4 linked regions of the Oryctolagus cuniculus genome follow. The protein of the gene in region 2 purifies or fractionates together with the protein of the main gene of each other region. This does not show direct contact. Links are inferred from orthologs where the notes say so. Each region holds a gene or a part of one and is shown on either strand. Other genes may lie near its edges.

The links.
Region 1: the proteins of NIFK (region 2) and RPL18A fractionate together in Homo sapiens (co-fractionation; 3 studies listed by BioGRID and IntAct, with this or other methods). This does not show direct contact. The link is inferred for Oryctolagus cuniculus from reciprocal best matches to the Homo sapiens genes NIFK and RPL18A.
Region 3: the proteins of NIFK (region 2) and FTSJ3 fractionate together in Homo sapiens (co-fractionation; 3 studies listed by BioGRID, with this or other methods). This does not show direct contact. The link is inferred for Oryctolagus cuniculus from reciprocal best matches to the Homo sapiens genes NIFK and FTSJ3.
Region 4: the proteins of NIFK (region 2) and DDX24 purify together in Homo sapiens (affinity purification with mass spectrometry; 3 studies listed by BioGRID and IntAct, counting the BioPlex papers as one, with this or other methods). This does not show direct contact. The link is inferred for Oryctolagus cuniculus from reciprocal best matches to the Homo sapiens genes NIFK and DDX24.

The regions. Positions count from the first base shown.
Region 1 is NC_091447.1:65,463,925-65,469,460, reverse strand, and holds RPL18A (large ribosomal subunit protein eL20), read right to left. Parts: upstream 3,037-5,536; 5' UTR 2,835-3,036; coding exon 2,817-2,834; intron 2,449-2,816; coding exon 2,269-2,448; intron 2,113-2,268; coding exon 1,983-2,112; intron 1,929-1,982; exon of another isoform or gene 1,798-1,928; intron 1,727-1,797; coding exon 1,524-1,726; 3' UTR 1,494-1,523; downstream 1-1,493.
Region 2 is NC_091434.1:128,334,131-128,340,368, reverse strand, and holds the start of NIFK (MKI67 FHA domain-interacting nucleolar phosphoprotein), read right to left. Parts: upstream 3,482-6,238; 5' UTR 3,366-3,481; coding exon 3,261-3,365; intron 2,654-3,260; coding exon 2,516-2,653; intron 1-2,515.
Region 3 is NC_091448.1:14,893,861-14,898,886, reverse strand, and holds part of FTSJ3 (pre-rRNA 2'-O-ribose RNA methyltransferase FTSJ3), read right to left. Parts: coding exon 5,004-5,026; intron 4,901-5,003; coding exon 4,796-4,900; intron 4,711-4,795; coding exon 4,610-4,710; intron 4,428-4,609; coding exon 4,347-4,427; intron 4,260-4,346; coding exon 4,110-4,259; intron 3,776-4,109; coding exon 3,640-3,775; intron 1,448-3,639; coding exon 1,263-1,447; intron 1,166-1,262; coding exon 1,048-1,165; intron 975-1,047; coding exon 709-974; intron 507-708; coding exon 421-506; intron 337-420; coding exon 237-336; intron 143-236; coding exon 1-142.
Region 4 is NC_091451.1:38,920,503-38,926,281, forward strand, and holds part of DDX24 (ATP-dependent RNA helicase DDX24), read right to left. Parts: coding exon 5,465-5,779; intron 3,470-5,464; coding exon 3,394-3,469; intron 1,765-3,393; coding exon 1,576-1,764; intron 85-1,575; coding exon 1-84. UniProt on the Homo sapiens protein: ATP-dependent RNA helicase that plays a role in various aspects of RNA metabolism including pre-mRNA splicing and is thereby involved in different biological processes such as cell cycle regulation or innate immunity.

The sequences.
Region 1 (5,536 bases), on a different chromosome or scaffold from region 2:
GACATCCCCTGCGCTCGGGTGGAGCTTAAGGACGGACGGCGCCCCAACTTCAAGGGGGGACCGCGCGTCCACAGGCCCGGCTCCGCCCACCCTAGGAATTCTCGGGGTGCAAGCCGAGACCCGAGACCTCTGGGCCGCCTCGGGCGCCGTCGCCGCTCTCTTGGGAGGCCCGCACCGCCGAGCCGAGTGGCCGCGTCCCCCCCCCCCCCCCCCCCGCCGTGGGAAAACCCAGGCTTCGACGGAGGCTCACTTATAGAGCGCCTACTGCATGCCCTTGTGGACACAGCAGGCTGCAGGGGGCCTGGCTCGACCGCAAGCAGGGGGGCTGGGGCCACCGCGGGCGCCCGGGGTGCGGCGGAGCGAGCGCTGAGTAGTGGGGGGCGGCGCGGGGGCGCAGGAGAGGCCGGGGCAGGGAGGCCCCCGCAGAGTTTTCTGAGAATTGGCGGCGCCCCAAGCCGGGGAGGCTGCAGGTGGGGACAAGTGCACCAGTGGGGACTTGGAACCTGTCCCGGATTCCAGGAGCCCCGCTGGGTGGGCGGCGCTGGGCCGTGAACTCCGGGCGGACAGCGGGTGGCCCCCCTCCCCCGCACCTGCTGGGGCGCACGTGGCTCGGGCGGTGCCCACACCGGGACCTGGCCCGCGGCCGACCCTGCGCGCCTCACTCAGCGGCCGCAGCCAGAGCGGCCACCCTGCCGTCAGGACCTGGGGTCATCTGGGGTCCCTGTGCCCGGTCCTGGTGCTGCCCCTGCGGAGCAGCCATCCCGCTGAGCGCGATCTTGGGGGTCAAGCAAGCCCAGCGCAGGCCCCCCCCCACCCTTCAAGGGGCCAGAGGACACCCCCAGCCGGAGGCAGCGGCGCGTGGGACCCCGGCCCCAGCCCTGTGCCAACTCTGGGGTGGAAACTCTGGTTTGCGTCCTGTGCCCCGCAGCTCCCGGGAAAACCCCCGCCCCGCCCCCCGAGCGCAGGGACCGCACCCGGACGCCCTAGCTCCGCTTGGCACGGAGCCACCCCTGAGGCCCAGAGGGTGAGCGGTCACCGACTTCCTGTTGTGTTCACGGCCCACGGGGGCTGCAGGAGCGCAGGCCATCGGGCCCACCGCCGGGGCAGAGCGAGACCCCGACTCCACGGGACGTGAGGGGGGAGGACCCCCAGCTACCCTCGGACTGGGTCGCCCCGCGCTCAGGGCGGGTGCGCAGGCGCTGCCCGGAGTCTGGTGCCCCCAGCGCCTCTCGGGCTTCGGTGCCCACCTCCTCCCCAGGACACTGCGGGGGCCCCAAGTTGCGTCCCAAGAGCCAGGCTGAGGCCTGGGCGAGTGGATGACGGCGCAGGTCCCATGGAGACCCGGATGGAGCTCCTGGCTCATCAGCCCCCCGCGGTCCGAGCCCCTCAGGCCCCAGGGGGCGGCACCCGCGATGTCCCCGACCCGCCCGGCTCGGCGCCTGGACTCCCCCCAGCCCCGCACGGCGCAGGCGCACACGGAGGCGGAGGCGGGCCAGGTTGCGGGCGTTTATTGGGGCGCGGGCCTAGAAGAAGGTGTTGGGCCTCTTGGCGGAGAAGCGCGGCTTGTGCTGGCGCCGCAGCACGCGGTGCGGGAGCGGGAAGCGGATGCGCGAGTCGTGGAACTGCTTCACGGCCGGCCGCCGGCAGCGCGCCGCCGCCATCTCCTCCACCTTCATCACCTGGATCGAGTGCGCGCGCGCGCGGTGCCGGGCGCCCATGTCGCGGTCTGCGGGGCGGGTGGGGCGGTGAGGGCGGGGCGGCCGGCACCGCAGGGACCACCCCCGCCCGCCCCGCCGCGCGTGTGCGGCCTCCGCATTCACTCCCGGGGGCACCCGCAGCCCCCCGGAGGCGACGAGGCCCCGCTGCTGTGCGCACCCCGCTTGGAGCCGCGGCCACGGCGCGCGGCGGCTCTGGGGTTCGGGTGCGCGCCCCCCTCCCCGCGCGCGCCCCCCTCCCCGCGCGCGCCCCCCGTCCCCGCTTACAGCACTGCGTGACGGCGCCGGCCGTGGTGAGGTCGCGGTACTCGCGGTACATGTTGTGCGTGCCGCTGCGGGAGTCGTAGCGCAGCCAGATGCCGAAGTTCTTCACGCGCAGCGGCGACTTCTCGAACACCTGCGGCCGGCCGGGCGGGTGAGGGTCCGGGCCGCCCCCCGCCGCCCCGCCCCGGACCCCCCGCTCCGCCCCGGCCGCCCCCGGAGCCCCCCGCGCCGCCCCGGCCCGTCCCCACCCCCGCCGCCCCCCGGCCACGCCGCCCGGCCCCCGGCGCACCTGCCCGCAGTACACGATCTCGCCCGACGACTTCTTCATCTTCTTCAGCTGCGACACGAAGTACCAGAAGCGCGACTTGGCCACCACATGGTTGGGCGCGAAGATGCGCATGCGGTAGAGCGGCGGCGCGGGGCTCTTGGGCGTGGGCAGGCAGCGGCCCACCACCTTGTACTCCCGCAGCTGCGGGGACGCGCGCGTCAGCCGGGGCCGGCGACCCCCGCGTCAATCCCCGGCCCGCCCCCAGCCCCGGGCAGGAGGTCGCCACATCGCGCGGCGCGGCGCCCCGCCCGGGCCCGCTCCCCACGCGGCACCCGCGACCACCCCAGCCCCCAGTCCCGGGCAGGAGGTCGCAACCCCGCGCGGCGCCCCGCCCGGCCCGCACCCGCTCCCCACGCGGCGCCCGCCGCCATGTTGGCCGCTCCCGAGCGCGGCCATCGGGGTCCCGGGCGGCGGCGCGCTCCAGCTGCGGGGCCCCGTCCGCTCCCCGCGCCCCCCACCAGGGCCCGCGCCGCGCCCCCCGCCCCGACGCCGCGCCGCGGCCGCCTTACTGTGCCCGAAGCCTTCATGGCGCTCCGTCCGCGATGGCCGCCACCCTCGAAAAGGAAGTCCTTTCCTTCGCGCAGCCGCTCTCCACGGGTTCGCCGGCGGAAGTCCCGCCGCCTCGCCGCGACGCGCCCATTGGTTCCTTGTCCTGGCGCTCACGGAGCCTTGTTTTGTCATTGGCTCCAGTTCCGCCTGCCACCCACTACCCCGCCTCTCTTCGCAGCCGGACTACACTTCCCAGGAGGTAGCGCGGCAATGCGCACGTATTCCGGCGCGGACGTAACGGAGCTTCCGATTTCCGAGCACGCCGGGAGTTGTAGGCAGCGGACGGCTTTGGTAGGGAGTGAATGAGCAGCTGGAGCAGTCTCTGTCTTCCACATAAATGTTTTTCCAGGGGTTAAGTTTTTATTAACCAAGCAAGCCACGCTTATTCTGAGTGGAAGCAGCTGCCCCGGTTTCCTTGCCCCTGCCTCGGCGGGCAGGGGTATCCACGGGGTGGGGAGGGTTGTCCCAGGGAGAGGCTGTCTGCTCGCGGGAGCTGGGGGCCTGCTCAGATCTGCCGGGGCGAATCTGGGGGCGGTCGCCGTCCCCCGGCCGTGAGGTGCATCAGGGCGGTGGCGGCGGCCCGGCTTAGGGGGGGGGCGCCACCTCTCCCAGGAGGCCCCCACCTCCGGGCTGTGCCCCCGGGACCTCAGCGGACGGCCACATGCACCCTTTCCCCGCGCACGGGGGTCCTCACCCTGACCGCAGGCCATGGCGTTGGGGGGGGGGTCCTAACCGTGACCACAGGGCATGGCCGCAGGGGAGCCGCCCCCCGCCCCCACGGGGCGCCCGGCTTCTCCTCGCCCAGGGCCCCCGTGGAGCGGAGGTGGGGGCGGAGAGACGCCGCCCCCGCAGACCAGGACCTCCCGCCCACCCGTGCACAGCCCGGGAGCAGCCGTGTCGGCCTGCCTCCAGCCCTCCCCCAGGCCTGGAGTCCCGGATCCGCCCGCGTCGCCCCACGCACCGGCTGCTCGGCCTCTCGCCTTCCAAATAAATTTTAAAAAATCCTCAAACGCCGAGCAGCTTGAGAATTGATTTCCACGTCATAGAAGGCCCGCCTTTAAATAATGCAATCCACGGTTTCTAAAAAATTTATTTATTTACTTACTTAAAGGCAGAGTTAGAGAGAGAGAGATTCCACCTGCTGGTCACGCCCCAAGAGCTCACAGCAGCCAGGCCTGGGCCAGGCCAAAGCCAGGAGCCAGGAGCTCCATCCGGGTCTCCCCCGTGGCAGCTGACCCCCCAGTGCTGGCTCCAGGCTTCCCGGAGCCCCGCAATCCTGTTGTGCGGGAATTGGCGGGCGGGTGTCGGCGGAGAGCCACGCCCCCGGAGCGTTACCGCGAGCGGCCGCCAGGTGGCAGCAGAGCCCGTTTCCCCCGGGCAGGGCCGGCACGGGGGCCTGGGTTGCACATCCCTAGAGGGTGCGAGAGGGGCCTGGGGGAGGGGCGGAGGGAGGGGGCGGCGAGACGGGGAAGGGCCGCGCGAGGGGCAATTGCTGGTTCACTCCCCAGGTGCTCACAACAGCCAGGGCCGGGGTCCCTGCCCCCCTGGGGAGGTGACCCGGATGGGGTTCCCAGGCCCTGGGCTGCAGGGTGTGCACCTGCCGCTGTCCGGCCGCCTCCAGGGGAGCCGCCGCCCGCGTGCCCCTGCCGGAATGGGAGCCAGCTGGTCCAGCCTCCCTCCCTGAGCGCCTGTCCGGTTACTCCCGGGACGGCCGCCCCTGCCCCGCTACCGCGGCCCTCAGTGCCCAGCGAGCTCCCAGCCGCCCTCCCCCTCCCCGGCTCCCAACTCCCCCCCCACCCCCCAGCGACTCAGTGACTCCTCCCGGCTCCGGTCTTTCCACGCTGGCGCCTTGCCCCCCGGGGATCCGTGCTCCGCCGGCACCTCTCCCGCGGGAGCGGGGTCCTGGGCCGTCTGCGCCCACAGCCGGGCCCGGCGCCCACGCCCCGCTCCGCTCTCAGCCGAAACCTGGGCGCCGGCCGCCGTGACCAGCACCGCGGCGGTGGACAGCGCCCACTCGGCCACCTGCCCGGGCTCGAGCTGCGCGCCCTGGTCCGCACCTACGGGAACCGACGTGCACTTCAGGGCGTCTGGTGGGCCCGAGAGCGGAGGGATAGCCTGGGACAGCTCTGAGATGGGAGGGGTAGCCTGGGACAGCTCAATGCGCCCTTGCTCCTGGCCGCCTCTCGCCCACGCTCAGCCCCACGCCAGGAGCTTTCTCCCCGCGGCCCGGAGCCGCCGCTGGTTCTGACCCGGCCCGGCCGCAGGTTCTCGAACGCCTCCCTCTGCCCTGCGGGTACGCGGCCCGAGCCCCCGGCTGCCCAGAGGCCCGCTCAGGCCGGACCGGCTTTGCCGACGGCGACCCCGCCTGGCGGCCCGTGGACGACTGCCCATGGGCGGGGCCGGGCGGGGGCTTGGGGGAAGCTGGGCAGGACCTGGGGGGGCTCGGGGGTCGGGGAGCAGCTGAGGGTCTGGACGGAGGGCTGGGGGTTCGGGGGCTGGGCGGGGGGCTAGAGGGACGGGTCTGGGGAGCTGGGGGGACTGGGCAGGGGTTAGGTGGACGGGGGGGGGGCGTAGGAAGGGGTGGGGCCCGGCTCTTCCTCCTCCCCCGACCAGGAGTTTGCGTCCCCCAGTGCTTGTGCTCAGTCCCCGGCGCTGTCCCGTGGGGCGCCCTCGGGTTGAA
Region 2 (6,238 bases):
GTCAAAGATCTCTACAATGAGAATTACAATACGTTAAAGATACAAAAAAATGGCCGGCGCCGCGGCTCACTAGGCTAATCCTCTGCCTAGCGGCGCCGGCACACCGGGTTCTAGTCCCGGTCGGGGCGCCGGATTCTGTCCCGGTTGCCCCTCTTCCAGGCCAGCCCTCTGCTGTGGCCAGGGAGTGCAGTGGAGGATGGCCCAGGTGCTTGGGCCCTGCACCCCATGGGAGACCAGGAAAAAGCACCTGGCTCCTGGCTCCTGCCATCGGATCAGCGCGGTGCGCCGGCCGCAGCGCGCCGGCCGCGGCGGCCATTGGAGGGTGAACCAACGGCAAAAGGAAGACCTTTCTCTCTGTCTCTCTCTCTCACTGTCCACTCTGCCTGTCAAAAAAAAAAAAAAAAAAAAAAAAAAAAAAAGATACAAAAAAATGAAGAAATATTCCATGTTTATGTATTAGAAGAATCAATATCATCAAAATGTCCATTCTTCCAAAAGCAATTTACAGATTCAACGTGATACCAATCAAAATACCAAAGACATTTTTCTCAGACCTAGAAAAAATGATGCTGAAATTAATTTGGAAATACAGGAGACCTTTAATAGCTAAAGCAATCTTATACAACAAAAACAAAGGCAGAGGCATCACAATACCAGATTTCAAGACATACTACAAGGCAGTTACAATCAAAACAGCTTGGTACTGGTACAAAAACAAAGGGATAGACAAATGAACAGAACAGAAACACCAAAATCAATCCAAGCATCTACAACCAGCTTATATTTGACCAAGGAGCTAAAAGCAATCTCTGGAGCAAGGACAGTCTCTTCAACAAATGGTGATGGGAAAACTGGATTTCGACATGCAGAAGGATGAAGCAAAACCCCTACTTCACACCTTACACAAAAAACCATTCAATATGGATTAAAGATCTAAATCTACAACCTGATACCATCAAATTAAAGAACACTGGGGAAACCCTGCAAGACACTGGCACAGGCAAAGAGTTCATGGAAAAGACACCCTGAGGCACAGGCAATCAAAGCCAAAATTCACAAATGAAATTACATCAAATTGAGAAGCTTCTGTATTGCCAAAGAAACACTCAGGGAAGTGAAGAGGCAACCGAAAGAATGGGAGAAATTATTTGCAAACTATGCAACTGATAAAAAGGATTAATAACCACAATCTACAAAGAGATCAAAAAACTCCACCACAACAAACCAACCAACCCAGTTAAGAAATGGGCAAAAGACATTTTTCAAAAGAGGAAATCCAAATGGCCAACAGACACAAGAAAAAATGTTCAGGATCATTAGCTGTCAGGGAAATGCAAATCAAAACCACAATGAAGATTCACCTCACCCCAATTAGAATGCCTTTCACACAGAAATCAACAAACAACAAGTGCTGGTGAGTATATAGGAAAAAAGGTGTCCTAGTCCACTGTTGGTAGGAATGTAAACTAGTAAAACCACTATGGACAACAATTTGGAAACACCTCAGAAATCTGAATATAGATGTACCACATGACCCAGCCATCCCACTCCTGGGAATTTACCCAAGGGAAATGAAATGAGCAAATAAGAGTTATTTGTACCACCATGTTTACTGCAGCTCAATTCACAATAGCTAAGGCATGGAATCAACCCCAATGCCCATCAACTGAAGACTGGATAAAGAAATTATGGATATGTACTCTATGTAATACTACACAGTGGTCCGTATGAAAAAAAGAAAAAAAATCTGGTCATTTGTAAATTAGTGCAATAAGCCAGTCCCAAAGGGACAACTACCATATGTTCTCCCTGATCTGTGATACTTCATGGGACATTTTTTCCCCCTCTTCTTCATATTACTTGTTGAACTCTATGTTAATCATATGTGTATAAAGTCAACTAAAAATAGAAAAAGAAAAAAGAAAAACAAAAAAGGTCTTCAAGGAGCCTAAACTCTCCTTATGGTCAAGACAAGAAAGATCTGAAACAAGAATATCATCAAGCTGGCACTTGATACAGCTGAGAGGTAGACAGCTGGGTAGTCAGTAAAATTTCTTCTAGGAGACTCCAAAATGCCTAAGGAAGCAGCTTAATCTCTAACTGAACACTCATAGGAAGCTGATGCTACTTTACCCACATTTTGCAGATTACAAAACTGCAGCATGAGTATGCTAGCTCCAGAGTCCTTTGCCTTCACTATAAATCTTGGCTATTACTGATGTCTCTAACAGAGGCTAAAACAAGTGTGAATCTGGTTCTCAAACTGAAGTTCATTTACCCCTGGTAAATGAACATGATTCATTTGCCAGGACTGCCAATTTAACTTGTGAACTTGGGGCAAGTACTTCTGGTACACAAACATTTAAAATTCTAATTTTGCTCTAGAGGCTGTTTGTTTCAAAACCTCAGCCAGCCCCCTTTCCAGAGGGAAGTCTAAGGAGCAGAATGCGAGCACTTTGCATAAAACTGTCAAGGATGACGCGTTCGGAAGACACAACAGGGGATTCTGACTTACCCTTTTGCTTCTGGACAGTCGGAATCTTGTAACAGTGCCAAACTGGGAGAAATACTCTTGAATCTGGGTTTCATAGAGTGTTGGAGGTAGGTGGCCCACATAGATTACTCCAGGAGTAAGGGTTTCTTGCTTTTTTTTCTGAAGACATACAAACCCGATAAATCCTCTTTAATAAGACAATTGCATGGCAACAAAACTTGCAAAACCCCTAGCGCTGGGTCCAAGAGCATACTGTTTCCGCTTAATCGTAGGCTTCTCCCCACAAGGACAGCGGCCAAGCAGCCCACGTGGGCCAGCGTAGATAAGCAAGGACACGAGAACTTTGCACACCGGCACCCTTCAACTTGCAGGCAGATCGCCGGCTACCTGCGTCTAATCCGACAGTTCTTGAGACGCCCACCGACCCTCAGCGTCATCGCCCCCGTACCTTCCCTAAGCAACACTTTTAAGTTTCCCACATTGGATTTAATGCTGAAGACCCAAGAAAACACAAATTCAACGTCAGGGGACCTAGCTGGTGAGCAATGTCTCCCAAGAACCCCCAAATCCCTGGGGCCCCCCATCAGCACCAGCAAATCGGAAGCAATGGCGCTAACTGGGTCCCTAAGCGGCCCGGTAGCGCTGTTCCCTGGCTCGGTCTCCGCCTCCTCGCGCGTCGCCACGTGAAGACCTGGAACCCACGCCTACAGCACCGAACTTTCCGCCTCGGATCCCTCCTCTCCCAGAGGAGGCAGAGGTCGCTCACCTGGGTGACGCGCTTGCGGACTTGCTCCACCTCCTTTCGAAACTGTGCGTCTTTCTCCGGGTTGAGAGACAGAATGGGGGCCGCGGGTCTGGAGAAGTCCGCCATGCCGGAGGTGCGCAGGCTGACCCACGCGGCGCTCCCGGAAATGCCGAGCCTTCGGTGCGGAAGTAAGGCGGAAGGGGCGTGGTGAGAGCTGGGCAAAGGTCGCGGCGCGGGGGCGTGCCCGTGGGGGCGTGGCCTTGGGCGCAAAGGGGCCCCTGCGCCGTTGCTGCTTTCTTGACCATCTCAGCCTGTTTTCTCTTTCTTTTCTTTTCTTTTCTTTTCTTTTCTTTTCTTTTCTTTTCTTTTCTTTTCTTTTCTTTTCTTTTCTTTTCTTTTCTTTTCTTTTCTTTTCTTTCCTTTTCTTTTCTTTTCTCTTTTCTTTTCTTTCTTTCTTTCTTTTCTTTTCTTTTCTTTTCAAGATTTATTTATTTGAGTTACACACAGAGAGATGGAGAGGCAGAGAGAGAGGGAGAGAGAGGTCTTCCATCCGCTGGCTCACTCTCCAATTGGCCGCAACAAATGGAGCTGTGCTGATCTGAAGCCAGGAGCCAGGAACTTCTTCCAGGTCTCACTCACAGGTGCAGGGCCCCAAACTTTTGGGCCATCTTCTGCTTTCCCAGGCCGTAACAGAGCTAGATCAGAAGTGGAGCAGCTGGGACTTGAACCAGCGCCCATATGGGATGCCAGTACTGCAGTCGGGGCTTTACCCGGGCCTCTCCACAGCGCCGCCTCCCGCTCAGACTTTTTTCTATCAACCCGGGTATCTGAGGGGTCCGTGGGCGGAGGCCCTGCAGAATACGCCCCTGGGCCTTCCAGCCCAGCTGCACCCCCAGTCCCCCCCCCCCCTGCTCCGTGGCCCGCGCAGCTCCTCCTTTTCCGGGGGTAGGGCATGCATCCTGGTACCCTCTTCCTCTGGCCCCTAACCCCTTTCAGGCAGGGGAGAAGGAAATTCTCGAGTGACCTGAGAGAAGTATCTAGAACCTTAAAAATAAGGCCTATTGGGCAGGTTGGTTAGCTTGGTCTTGCGGACAAGACCCCCACGTCTCGCCTCAGAGTGCCTGGTTTCAGTACTGGCCTCTGTTCCAGACTACATCTTCCTGCTAAAGGAGACCCTGGGAGGCAGGGGGACTGGCTCATTTGAACCGATTCTATCCACCTGCGTGGGAGACCGGGATTGGTTTCCTGGCCCAAAGTTGCAGTTCAAGCCTGGGGTGGGATGGAGGAATTGCAGGCATCTGGGGGAATGAATCAGCATATGTGAGGGAACTCTCTGTCTCACAAGTAGACAAAAACAGGATCTATGAAGGAAAAGGATCTTGCTTGTATTCCATATTGGAGTGTTGAGTCCTCCATACTGTGTTTCCTAACCAGCTCCCTGCTAATGCACCTAAGGAAGGCAGATGATGGCCCAAGGGTTTGGATCCCTGCCACCCACATGGGAGACACAGATGGAGTTTGGGGGTCCTGGCTTTGACCTGGAACAGTCTTGTCTGTTGTGGGCATTTTGGGGGAATGGATCAGCAGGTGGAGGAGCTCTTACCTTTCACATCAATCAATAAATTAATCTTAAGTCCAAAAGGAAAGGATCATAAACCCTGATAAGAGCGTTCATCACAAAAACCAACCAAAAAAGCCAATAATAAGGGACTGGGTTAATAAACCTTGCATGCCTGTTTGATGAGTAAAATCACATCAATGTTTCCATTTAAAAATTTACTTTAAAAATATAAAATAAGGCAAAAATACCTTTTTTATGGGGCAAGGACTATTTATTTTAGGTATAAAACCTTTTTAAAAATATTTATTCAAGAGGTAGAGTTACAGAGAGAAGGAGAGACAGAGAGAAACGTCTTCCATCCGCTGGTTCACTCCCCAAATGGCCATAATGGTTGGAACTGGGCTGATCTAAAGCCAGGAGCCAGGGGCTTCTTCCAGGCTCCCACTCAGGTTGCAAGGCCCAAGCACTTGGGCCATCTTCTACTGCTTTCCCAGGCCAAAGCAGAGAACCGGATTGGAAGTGGAGCAACCGGGATTTGAACTGGCACCCATATGGGATGCCGGCACTGCAGGTGGCAGCTTTCCCCGCTACGCCACATTGCTGGCCCCAAATCAATATATTTTTAAAGAAGTATTTATACAGAGCAATGGAGAGAGAAAAAGAAATCGACTGATCCTCCATCCACTCACTGGTTTACTCCTCAAATGGCTACAACAGCCAGGAGGTCTGGGCCAGGCTGAAGCAAGAAGCCAGGAACTCCAGTATTTGGCAGGGGCCCAAACATACTGCTTTCCTAGATGTATTAGCAGGGAGCTGGTTTGGAAGTGGGGCATCTGGGAAATTAAGCCAGCACTTATACAGGATGCAGCAGCTTTACTCCCTGCACCACAAAGTCAGCCCCAGGAAATTAACTTGTAAATAAACAGAACCTTAAGCGTTACAATTTTACTGCGCTTCTGTTTGAGCAATTATATAAGGATGTTAGCAATAAAACTAAATGAGAGAAAATTCGAAGTTGCTTTAGAAGACCCCAAATAACTATTTCCAGATCATTAGGTAAGACTTGCTAAATAGCAATAAAAAATCACATGTTCACTATGTAGAAATCACATAGGAACAATTTACTATGAAATTAATCTTTCTATAATATAAATTTATAAAGCACTATCTTAAGAGTGATAATCTAATGCTCTATTTGAACTGTTATGTAATCACTTAAAAAAAGCAATAGGATCAAATGAGAAAAAGATTATTTCAGAACATAAAAAATTATTGCAGTGTTTCTGGATTATTTTAATGAAATTGCTAACAACTTCAAAAATACTGTAATTACACTACCTACAAATAAAATGGAAGCAATGAACTTGTAAGATTCACATATAAACAATCTATCTTATGCATTATAATTTTGATCCATTGTATAAGACTTAACTAATAG
Region 3 (5,026 bases), on a different chromosome or scaffold from region 2:
GGGACGTGCATTGATTTCCTTCCAGCGTTTCCGGTAATGCTCCACGTCCTTCTTGTCAATAGGCAACTGCCGGATCCGGTGCTGTTTTTCCTCCTGCACAAACCACTCTGGAAGTTCCTCTTCATCCTCATTGAAGGTATACCTGGGCGTGAGAGGGCACCAGTCTTAACACCAGCCACTCCCCGTGTTTTAAAAGAAACCACCCACTTAGCCGCTTGACTGTCTGGCCCCGTTACCGGTTGAAGGAGTTATCTATGAGGTCTCGCTTGGCCTTTTTAGAAGAGGCTATCACAGCACCTAGAGCCAGGCCTTCAGGGTCCAGTATCCGACGTTTCGCTAGACAGGGAGAGAGGAAAGTCAGAGCTTGATTTCCAGCGCTGACACTTCACTGGCTTCCTCTCATCTGTACTGAGCTCTCACCTGGGTCCTCGATAGGCACCACCTCGAACCCAGCATCATCTGACTTCGGCCCCCGGCGTCGCTTCTTACCACGGGATGGTTCCCAACTGTGGTGGGGAGAGACTAAGTGAATTCTACTGTTGCCCACACTACATGCCCAGCTGACCTCAACCCTGCTTCTAAAGACCACTTAGGGAACCTACAGAAACCATGCCATCCAGGCTGTGCCCAGGCTGATTAAAGCAGAATCTTAGAGAACGGAGTGTCCAAACCACTGCTGCCTCTTCCCCATCCAGCTGCACCACTTACCTCCCTTCATCCTCACTGCTACTGCTGTCACTGTCTGAGCTGTCATCTCCCCCACCAGGGCCAGGGGCAGCGTCTGTCTCCAGAGGAGCCGTCCTCACTTCAGAGGCCTCTTCCCGGCACCGAGACTGTCTCTGACTCTTCAGACTGGAAGGTGCTGGTGGCGGCGCTGGCTGCTGCTGCGCCTTCCGACGGCTCTCGTTTAACAGCTGAGCCTGCCCGATCTCCAGGGCCTCATCTGCATCGTCCTCGATCCCACTGAAGCCGTCCTGCGGTAGGGGACACTTAGCCATCTCTCCCGGGAATCCCAACTTCCTATGAGTCTTGGCCTCAGCACCTCACCTTTGAGAACCACAGGTTAGCCTGTTCTTCCTGCAGTACTGTCTTTTCTTCCAGTGACACCAGCAGTGGATTCTCCCCTTCCTCTTCTTTATCATCTTCTACTTCAGCAAACTGCACACTGTAGACCCAAAGGGAGACTCAGGGATCCTGAGTGCTGGCAGGCCCCACCCTGCCTGCACCCGGACTCTGGGTGAGGGTGGCTCTCACACTCTTACCGCTTCTGTTCCTTCAGACCCGGAGGTCCCCTGACTCCTGCCAGCTCCTCTGGATCCAGGTCACTGTCCAGAGACGCATCCTCCTCCTCCTCCTCCTCTTCCGACACATAGATGTCATCCCGTGGCAGATCGGACAGAAATGTGTCTGCAGTGCTCATATCCCCTTGTGTTACTTCCTCTAACAACTGAAATTCAACGAAGAGGTCAAGTGTTTTAAAGGAACAGGGTGCTTCTTTCTCATGCTCATGTCTTAGTTGTAATCAACACCGTGGCAGATCCATTCCAAGGTACTAACCTGTCTCATTCAGTTGTCTTATCGTCAGTGGTAGCACAAGGAAGTGTTACTGGGAAAGTACCCCCATGGCCCACACCATGGCCCACATAGCAGCAAATCTTAAAATGTTCTAAAACATTGGTGTTCCTTTTTTTTTTTTTTTTTTTTTTTTGACAGGCAGAGTGGACAGTGAGAGAGAAAGAGACACAAAGGTCTTCCTTTACTGTTGGTTCACCCTCCAATGGCCGCTGCGGCCGGTGCACCACACTGATCCGATGGCAGGAGCCAGGTGCTTCTGGTCTCCCATGCGGGTGCAGGGCCCAAGCACTTGGGCCATCCTCCACTGCCTTCCCGGGCCATAGCAGAGAGCTGGCCTGGAAGAGGGGCAACCGGGACAGAATCCAGCGCCCCGACCGGGACTAGAACCCAGTGTGCCGGCGCCGCAAGGCAGAGGAATAGCCTATTGAGCCGCAGCGCCAGCCTGGTGTTCCTTTGTTTTTAAAGATTATTTAAAATAATCCTCCACCTGCAGCTGGCTCCTCTTCTGTTCCAGCTCCCTGCTATGGCCTGGGAGAGCAGTGGAAGATGGTCGAAGTGCTTGGGTGCCTGCACCCACGTGGGAGACTTGGAAGAAGCTCCTGGCTCCTGGCTTTGGATCGGCTCAGCTTCAGCCGTTGCAGCCATTTGTGGAGTGGCCCAGAGGATGCAAGACCTTTCCCTCTCCCTCTTCTCTGTCTGGAACACTACCTCTCAAAAAAATAAAATAATCTCTAAAAAAATTATTTATTTCACTTGAGAGGCAGAGAGAACTCTCATCCACTGGTTCACTCCCCAAATGCTTACAGTGAGCTGCACCAGGGTCAAAGCAGGGAATTCAACTCAGTTCTCCCATATGATGACAAGAACCCAATTACCTGAGTCATCACCACGCCTCCCAGGGTCTGTATTGGCAGGAGATTGGAGACAGAAACCAGAGCCAGAGTCAGGTCCAGGCACTCCGATGTGGGGCTGGATGCCTTAGTCTCCAGGTTAAATGTCTACTCCCCAGCTTTCCTTTAAAATTCCTCTCAGAAGGCACCTCTGTCACCTCCTGGGAAAAATCTCATATATGCGTCTTGATTCTCTACCAAATAAAGGTGGGTAGGTAACATAGATCTAACAGAAATGTTTCACGTAGATCAACTTAGAGGAGCCAGTGCTGTGATGTAGTGGGTAAAGTCACCACCTGCAATGCCGGCATCCCATATGGGCGCCAGTTTGAGTCCAGACTGCTGCACTTCTGATGCAGCTCTCTGCTATGGCCTGGGAAAGCAGTAGAACATGGCCCAGGTGCTTGGAAGACGGGGAAGAAGCTCCTGGCTTTGGATCGGCTCAGCTCCAGCTGCTGCAGCCAACTGGGGAGTGAACCAGCCAGCGGATGGAAGACCTCTCTCTGCCTCTCCTACTCTGTGTAATTCTTTCAAATAAATAAATCTTTTAAAAAAAATCAACTTAGAATAACCTCAAAATGTATTTTCCTCATGGCAAAGATAGCTTTCATTTGTATGGCCACTGTAGGTACTGACAAAGATAGGGGCTGTATGCCTGACTACTGCCTAATGGAGCTGGGACGAGAAGCGAGCCTGCAAGAACCTAGCCTGCGTCTCTCTAGGGCCTCTAGGGGAAAGGTGACTTGGTTAAGACATTCCCACATAAGAGCCAGAAAAGCTCTCTTTTTCATGACTCATTTTATGAGAAAAGATGTTCTCTAGGAGGAACAGAGTAGCATGCGGCAGCCCAATGCAAGGCTAACTTGGTCTTAGAAATCCTCTCTACTTGTGCTTATAACCCAGGTGCCCTGGTTCCCTGTATTATAACCACAACTGTTGGTCCTAATATTCCAGCTCCAGGAGAATCAATCCGCATCACACTCATAAACCCGGATTTCATCATTTTAGGTGTATGTTTGCTTTGGCCTTTGAGTTACTGTTTTGTACCCCAGTAAGCCCCTCACCAAGTGATTTAGTGGGTGAAGTAGGCACCTGAAGCCCAGCATCACTCAGCACAGAAGACATCGGTCCCTCCACCTTCAGTCTCCTCAGTCTGTCCCGAGCCCCTGCTCACCTGGTGGCCCCGGATGGTACGCAGTGAGAACATGCCAGTCTCCCCCTCATCTGCAATGGAGACCCCAGGCAGATCCATCTTCAGCTCCACGCGCTCCCGCTGCTTTCTCTGCTCACGCAGCAGCTTCTTTTTCTTTCTGAAGGGATAGGTTAAGGGGTTACACCTGCCCAGCGCTGAAAACTCCCTTTCCATGTCTGTCCTCCTCCCACCTTCACACTCTGCAATTCTGCAATGGGGCTCCCCCGGCCCCTCCCCACACCATTTCTTAGATTTTTCTTAGACCTCCCAATCCACTGGTTCAACTCCGCAGATGCCCATAACAGCCAAGACTCCACCCAGGTCTCCCACATGGGAGACCTTGACCATCACTGGGTATTCATTAGCAGGAAGCTGGAGCCAAGCCAGGCGTGAAACCCGTGCACTTCAGTGTGGGATGATATCCTAACCCACGGCTCTACCACTTTAATCACCTCTTTAATTCTGCCACCTCCTGGGCTTTCATCTCTGCCAGAGTCCGGTTTAATTGCTCCTCTTCCTCCTCCTCTTTAGAGGGCTGCCTTGTGATCCCAGCTGCTGACTCCTCCTCCTCCTCCTCACCTTCTTCCTCTCCTGAGCTGAGGCTGACAAAACAGTCCAAGGAATCACGTCATTTTCCTAGGCAGGGGCTTCGTCGAGTCGACATCTACTTGGTTCAGCTCCGTCCTCACCTGATGTCCAGTGCCTTTGCTTGCTCTTTCAGCTTCTTGGCTACGTGTCGCCGAAGCTTTGTTCTCCAGTTCAGGAGGGACCTGCCACAGAAATACCATGACTGATCTCAGCTCTCCCTTTGTACTTGCGCTCTCCTGCCAGAGGCCCCCACCTCACACCTCTAGCACAGCACAGCCTGTGTGCAGAGGTCCAACATCATGGCTTCCCTGGGCCTTTTCCTCCCTCCAGGGTTCCTGGCCCCTCTGGCCTCGCGACCGCATACCTGAGTTCCTTGCGCCCCAGCACCTTGATGTCCTGACAGCATGCCCGTACGTCCTCGGTGGTCGCCGGATGCTGTGCCAACTCTTCATCATCTAGCGAGATCTGTTTGAGGGAAGTAAAGGAGTTGGAAGATCTTCAGGCCGTGTTTCTGGGGTTCTCTTTCGTCCCTCAAAGTCTGGGAACTCACCTCACTGGCTTTGGAGAGGAAGTCGACAGGGTTGGCAGCCCGGAGGAAGTCAGTGACGGAGGCACGGTGATAGAGAGTGAGGTCGCCCTCTGCGTAGCCTTCAGCCTTAGGGAGGGCAACAGAATGGCTGGCAGTCCCTTGCAAGGCATCTCCAGGCCCGCCAGGCCCAGTCTCTCCAGGGCTCCAGGACCCTACCCCCCAAACGCACCTTCGGCTTCTTCTTAGTCACCA
Region 4 (5,779 bases), on a different chromosome or scaffold from region 2:
CTGCTCGATCCAGGAGTTGTGCAGACAAGCCTGGAAGTTCCGATACTCAGCTTTCTCAATCTGGCGAGCTAGACGGATCCGCTCCTGGGGAGAGACGGAGTCCTCACCTCACAGCGGTCGGCCTCTGTAAGCAGTCTCCCCGAGCTGCTGCTGAAGCTCCTGAGGTCGACAGTCCCCGGGACGCGCGCGGCAACTACCGAAACGCATTGATCTTGGCTCCTGCGGTCACCACACACGTGTGGGCACAAGCACACTCCCAAGAGCCGGCGCTCCCTTCAACACGGCCACCTGGTCTGACTCCAGCGACAGTGTCCACAGAGGCTGCAGCTGGCTGCCACCTCAGAGACAGACTGAACACTTCAACTCCCCCGCTGGTGGGATTTGGAGTTTAGACCACGGCAACAGGATGCCCCAAAGAAACAGACAAGATCTTATGACACAGGAAAAAGAACCACGGGAAGCCAGGTTAGCTCCTCACAGAAACTCTCTGACCTCCACCTTTCCATCTGCAACTCCGCCAGCCCCGCGGGCACGGCCGACACTGACCAGCCCCGCGGGCACAGCCGACACCCCACCAGCCCCGCGGGCACAGCCGACACTCCTTTCAAACCAAAGGAGTTAACAGCCTCAAGTGTCCCAGGCTCCTCCTCCCCCAGTTCCAGGAATCAGATCCTTTATGCCCCTCCAGTTCAGCTGCAGCTTCAGAGCCTCACGGTATTCCCACAGGTCTTCCATCCCACAGCTCCCTCTGTACCTGAACCTCAGTACAGTCTGGCCCGCTCCTGGACACGGACCTGCTGGGGAGAGCCTAGCCTGCCCTGCTGTGGGCCTGGACACGGACCTGCTGGGGAGAGCCTGGCCTGCCCTGCTGTGGGCCCGGACACGGACCTGCTGGGGAGAGCCTGGCCTGCCCTGCTGTGGGCCCAGACACGGACCTGCTGGGGAGAGCCTGGCCTGCCCTGCTGTGGGCCCGGACACGGACCTGCTGGGGAAAGCCTGGCCTGCCCTGCTGTGGGCCCGGACACGGACCTGCTGGGGAGAGCCTGGCCTGCCCTGCTGTGGGCCCGGACACGGACCTGCTGGGGAAAGCCTGGACTGCCCTGCTGTGGGCCCAGACACGGACCTGCTGGGGAGAGCCTGGCCTGCCCTGCTGTGGGCCCGGACATACTGTGGTCCACGGAGGCGGCATTCACTCAGAGAATGGCTGCAAGTCAGGATTTGCCGGCACCTGCTTCAGGGATGTGCCAACCCATCAGCCCGGATCTCAGTGAGACACAGACACCTCACTGCCCACGGCCCTGACGAGAGGCCCAGGCAGCTGTGCACACCGCACAGTCCAGTGGGGGTGGGGTGGACACGTCAGGGTCAGGCAGTGAGGAGACAGTCCGGGGAGGAAACGCCTCCGCTCTGGTCCCTCCTCCAGGGCTCAGCATGTCCGGTCCCTTCCATGAATGCCCCGCGGAGCTGCTGGCAGAGCCACCCTTGGTTCCGGGGTGGTGCTGTTGTACTGCAGTGTCCCAACATGGGCCCGTGAGCACCAGGTTCCGCGCAGCCCTGGGGTCCACTTCTCCTTACCTTGACGGCATCCATGTACTTGGTCTGCACAGGGAACAGCGGGATGTCTTCGTCTTTCTTGAGGGTTTTGTAAATCTTCTTAAAGTTGATCACATCTTCGGGTCCTATCAGCAGCAGGCTGAGGCCCTCACTGGTGGCACGAGCGGTCCGCCCACTGCGGTGGACATAGATCTCCGAGGTGCGAGGGACCTGCCAGCGGAGGACCCGGGAGGTCAGCCCTGCCCGCGGCACACTGGCCCTGGCCTCAGGGTCGCATCCCCAACCGGCCCCTCTGCCCCCCAGGCCAGGCAGGTGGGAACCGCCGCTGATTCTGCATGTCCAGCCTTCCCCCTTTAGCCCTACACTCCGACTGTCCCCGGCTCAGCCATTCAGGTCCCCGTGCCCACGCAGTGGACCCCGCAGTCACTTCCTCCGTCTCTATCCTTCCCACTTGTCCTGCCCCGCCCAAAGCCGCCGGTGTTATCTGGGTCTCGGCTTCGAGCACGACACTCCCCCTAGTAAACCAATCCCACCGGCTCTCCATTCACTCTGAGTGACAGGCAGCGCTAATCACACCAGCATCTACGGAGTGACCACCTCGGGCCACACAGCTCTAAGCTCTCTGCAGGTACGGATGCACCTATTCCTCACAACAGAAACACGAAATTGATTCTTCATAAGATTACCCACGTTTTATAGACTAGGAAACTAAAACAGAGAGGTTAACAACTCCCCCCAGGTTACCCAATGAAGTGGTGGTGCCAAGAAACAAACAAAAAAAACCAGTCCCGCTGCAGGGACCGTGCAGAGCCCTGAGCGACCCCTGCTGCCCTCCAATGTACGAGGGTCACACGGGACTGAGACCTGTTTGCCACGCCTCACATACAGGATAAAGGCGCAGCTCCTGAATCCGACACTCGGCCTCAGGGACCCGGCCCCCAGCCTACCCCCCGGCCTCTGTAGCTACTCCTCTCCCAGTACAACCCTCTTCTCGCCCTAAGCCATCTGCCCCTGAACACTGCCCATCCTAGACTCTTCCCTCCTTCCCTTCCCACCTCGTGTCCAACTCCTCTCCATCCTTAAATGCCAAGCACCTTCTAGAAAGCAGGTTCCAACCTCCCAAACCAGGAGTTCTCTCTGTCCCACCGCATCCTTTAACTTTCTAACAGCTTCTCCCCTACATAACGGCTGTGTCCTCTCCCCACCTCCCTGGGACTTGGGACTTTCAGGAGCTGGGCCTGTATATGGTTCACCTTGATTTCTCCCACAAAGGCTGACCCAGCCCCTTCTCTAAAAAATAGTAAAGATTTGCTACACTGAAATCGGCACCCTCAAAGACCTACTGAGTACTTCCACTGGGGCAGGCACTTCAGCATCAGCTCAGTTTAATTCTCATGACAACCTGGCTGGGTAAGCAGTGTGTCACTTCCAGTTTAGAAACAATGACGACAACTGAAGTGACAACGAAAACTGACAACTAAAAACGGTGTGTGTGCGTGCGCGCGCGTGTGCCAATCAAAGAGCATGCCGCTGTGAAGCCGCAGACCGGGGAGTCCGACCCGGGCGGCCAGGCCTGGACCCGACACTGCCAGCCGCAACGCTGTGCTGGTATTTGTCAGGCAGACGGCTCCTCTCACTGCTATCCACAGCACACTTAGCCAGTGCTCACTACATGCCAGTGGTCCCTAAACTCTGCATGTGTTACCTTCTTTTATCCTGGTAAGAATCCTAAGCAGGTACTACGATAACTGCAGGGGCCTTGGGCCCAACAATTCTTCCTCCTCCTCGCTTTAGAATCCCGAAGCAGGAAGATGCTGACGAATTCCCAGACGCCCCTACCTGGTAGTGGATGACATGCTGCACTTTAGGAATGTCCAGACCCCGAGCTGCCACGTCTGTTGCCAAGAGAACACAGCTGTGGTGAAGAGAGAAAGCTCGTTAATAACTCTAACAGCTATCACAACCGAACTCTTACCTCTGCGAGCACTATAAACGCCACGATCCTCACCAGCACTCTCTGTCTTACCAACAACACTATCATCTGCCCTTCATTGATAGAGACTGAGCCTCCGAGAGCAACTTCCCAAGGTACTTACATGGCTGCTGGGTTGTGTAATCAAGGATCCAACCAACTTTGCAATGACAGGGACCCCCTGTGGTGAACTGAATGAGGCCAAACACGATCTGGGCAGGTGACCTCCACCCGGGCACCCTCCCCTTCCTGCCCTGGTCAGCCCTGGTCAGCGGCAGAGGACCTCCTGGGCTTCCTCTCCACCCCTCCCCCCAGCCTTTGTACTTGCTCATCCTTGGGTCTTGAAGCTCTTCTCTCATATTTCCACGTGACACCTCTCCCTGCTTTCTTCAGCTCTCTGCTCAAATCTCCCCGTCAGACACCTCGCCAGCCACACTCGCCCCATCACAAGCCCCAGCTTACTTGGTAGCGCTCAACGCCACTTGCTATATTATAGACTTTGTGATACATTTCTTCTTCCTCTAGAAACTAAGTTCTGTGAGAACAAGCACTTTGCATTACTCACTTTAGGTTAGCAACACCTAGACCACTCTCTAGCTCATGATAAGCACCAGATAAAGGTACGTGACGCTCCTTAACACTCAGTCCAAGCAGACTCAGAAGCACTTACAGCACGCCTTAAGACTTCCCGATTCTTGGTCCTTCAGGGTCCTCCTCGCCCTTATTTCTGACATAGGGATGGGGAATGTGGTGCAAGTCAAACTCTATAAGACATTTAACTATTATTCTAAGTCAAGGTCAGCAAATTTTTCTGTAAAGGGTCAGATAGTTAATAGTTCCAGCTTTGTGGGCAATACAGTTGCTGTGGAAACCACTCAACTCTGCCATTTCAGTGGAACAGTGGTTAGATGATACATTTATGGGTCTTGCCATATTCCAATAAAACTTTATTATAAAAGCAGGGAGAAAGCAAGACTTGGCCATGGGCTTTAGTGTGTCAAGCCCTGCGCTAAGCCAATCCCCATAACCACCACACGTAATAATCAAAGCCAGGTAAACGTGACACTAGTTCTAGAAACAAAACACCCTCTGCCCTGACAAGCACTCAGGTGGGGGAAATGCCTCAGCCCCCAGGCCTTCATCCTGGCCATCTGCAGCCTACCTGCTGAGCATCACCTGGTCTGGACGGACACAGACAACACAGGCCCTGCGCTGGACAGCCCTCCCAGAGGCTCAGACCTGCCACTTCGAGGTAGAGAAACCCTGGCCAAGCTGGTGAGCTTTTGGGAATAGTGATAGTGGCAGTAGGAGGGCGGGAGTTACTAGAGCTAACATCTCACAAGCACACACTGTGTGCCTTACAGAGCTGCCGCCAACTCTTCACATCCACGCATCCGTTAACCCTAACACTATGACGTCTATATATTATTATCCCACTATGAGCAAACTCAAGCACACAGAAGTCAAACAACTTGACCAGCAAGGAAGCAGTGGGGTCAGGATTCGATCTCATGAAGCCCAGTTCGAGAGTTTGTGCCCTTATCTACAAATCTATCCTGGATGATGGGGGAGTGGAGGGACGTGGTGTTTCTGAAGTGCCGGCCTAGGTCATAATGGACGAAGTGTCAACAACACTAGGTACTGTCCCCGTTACTCAGTGCTACGAAAGCGTCAGAGGACATCAGCAGCATCCAAATCTGCTAAACGCGGTGACCCTGCCGAACGCCATGCAGAAGGGGGCCGCCTGCTCTCACAAGGCCCTACAGCAGAGGTGACCGCCTGCTCTCACAAGGCCCTACAGCAGCAGAGGTGACCGCCTGCTCTCACAAGGCCCTACAGCAGCGGTGACCGCCTGCTCTCACAAGGCCCAGCAGCAGCGGTGACCTCCCGCCACTCCCGCACGGCGCTGCAGGCCAGGCCGAGGGCGGCTTCACTCACTCTTCCATTCGGGCGAACTGCTCCAGGTTTCGGAGCCGCTGCTTCTGGTGCATGCAGGCGTGCAGCGTCAGAGGCATGATGTCCAGGACCTTGAGGAGCCCGGAGAGCCGTTTGATGCAGGAGATGCTGTTGGCAAACACCAAGCTGCGGCCCGGGTACTGCATCAGGAAGTAGTAGAGGTACAAGTCTTTCTCCTCGGTCTCGCAGTGGATCTTGGTCTCCGTCAGGGTCTCCACCGTGGCCTCGTTCCTTGTGAGGTCGATGACCTTCGGCTTACCCCTCATGCCGACCTTCTGCACGAGGAGGTCGAGCTTG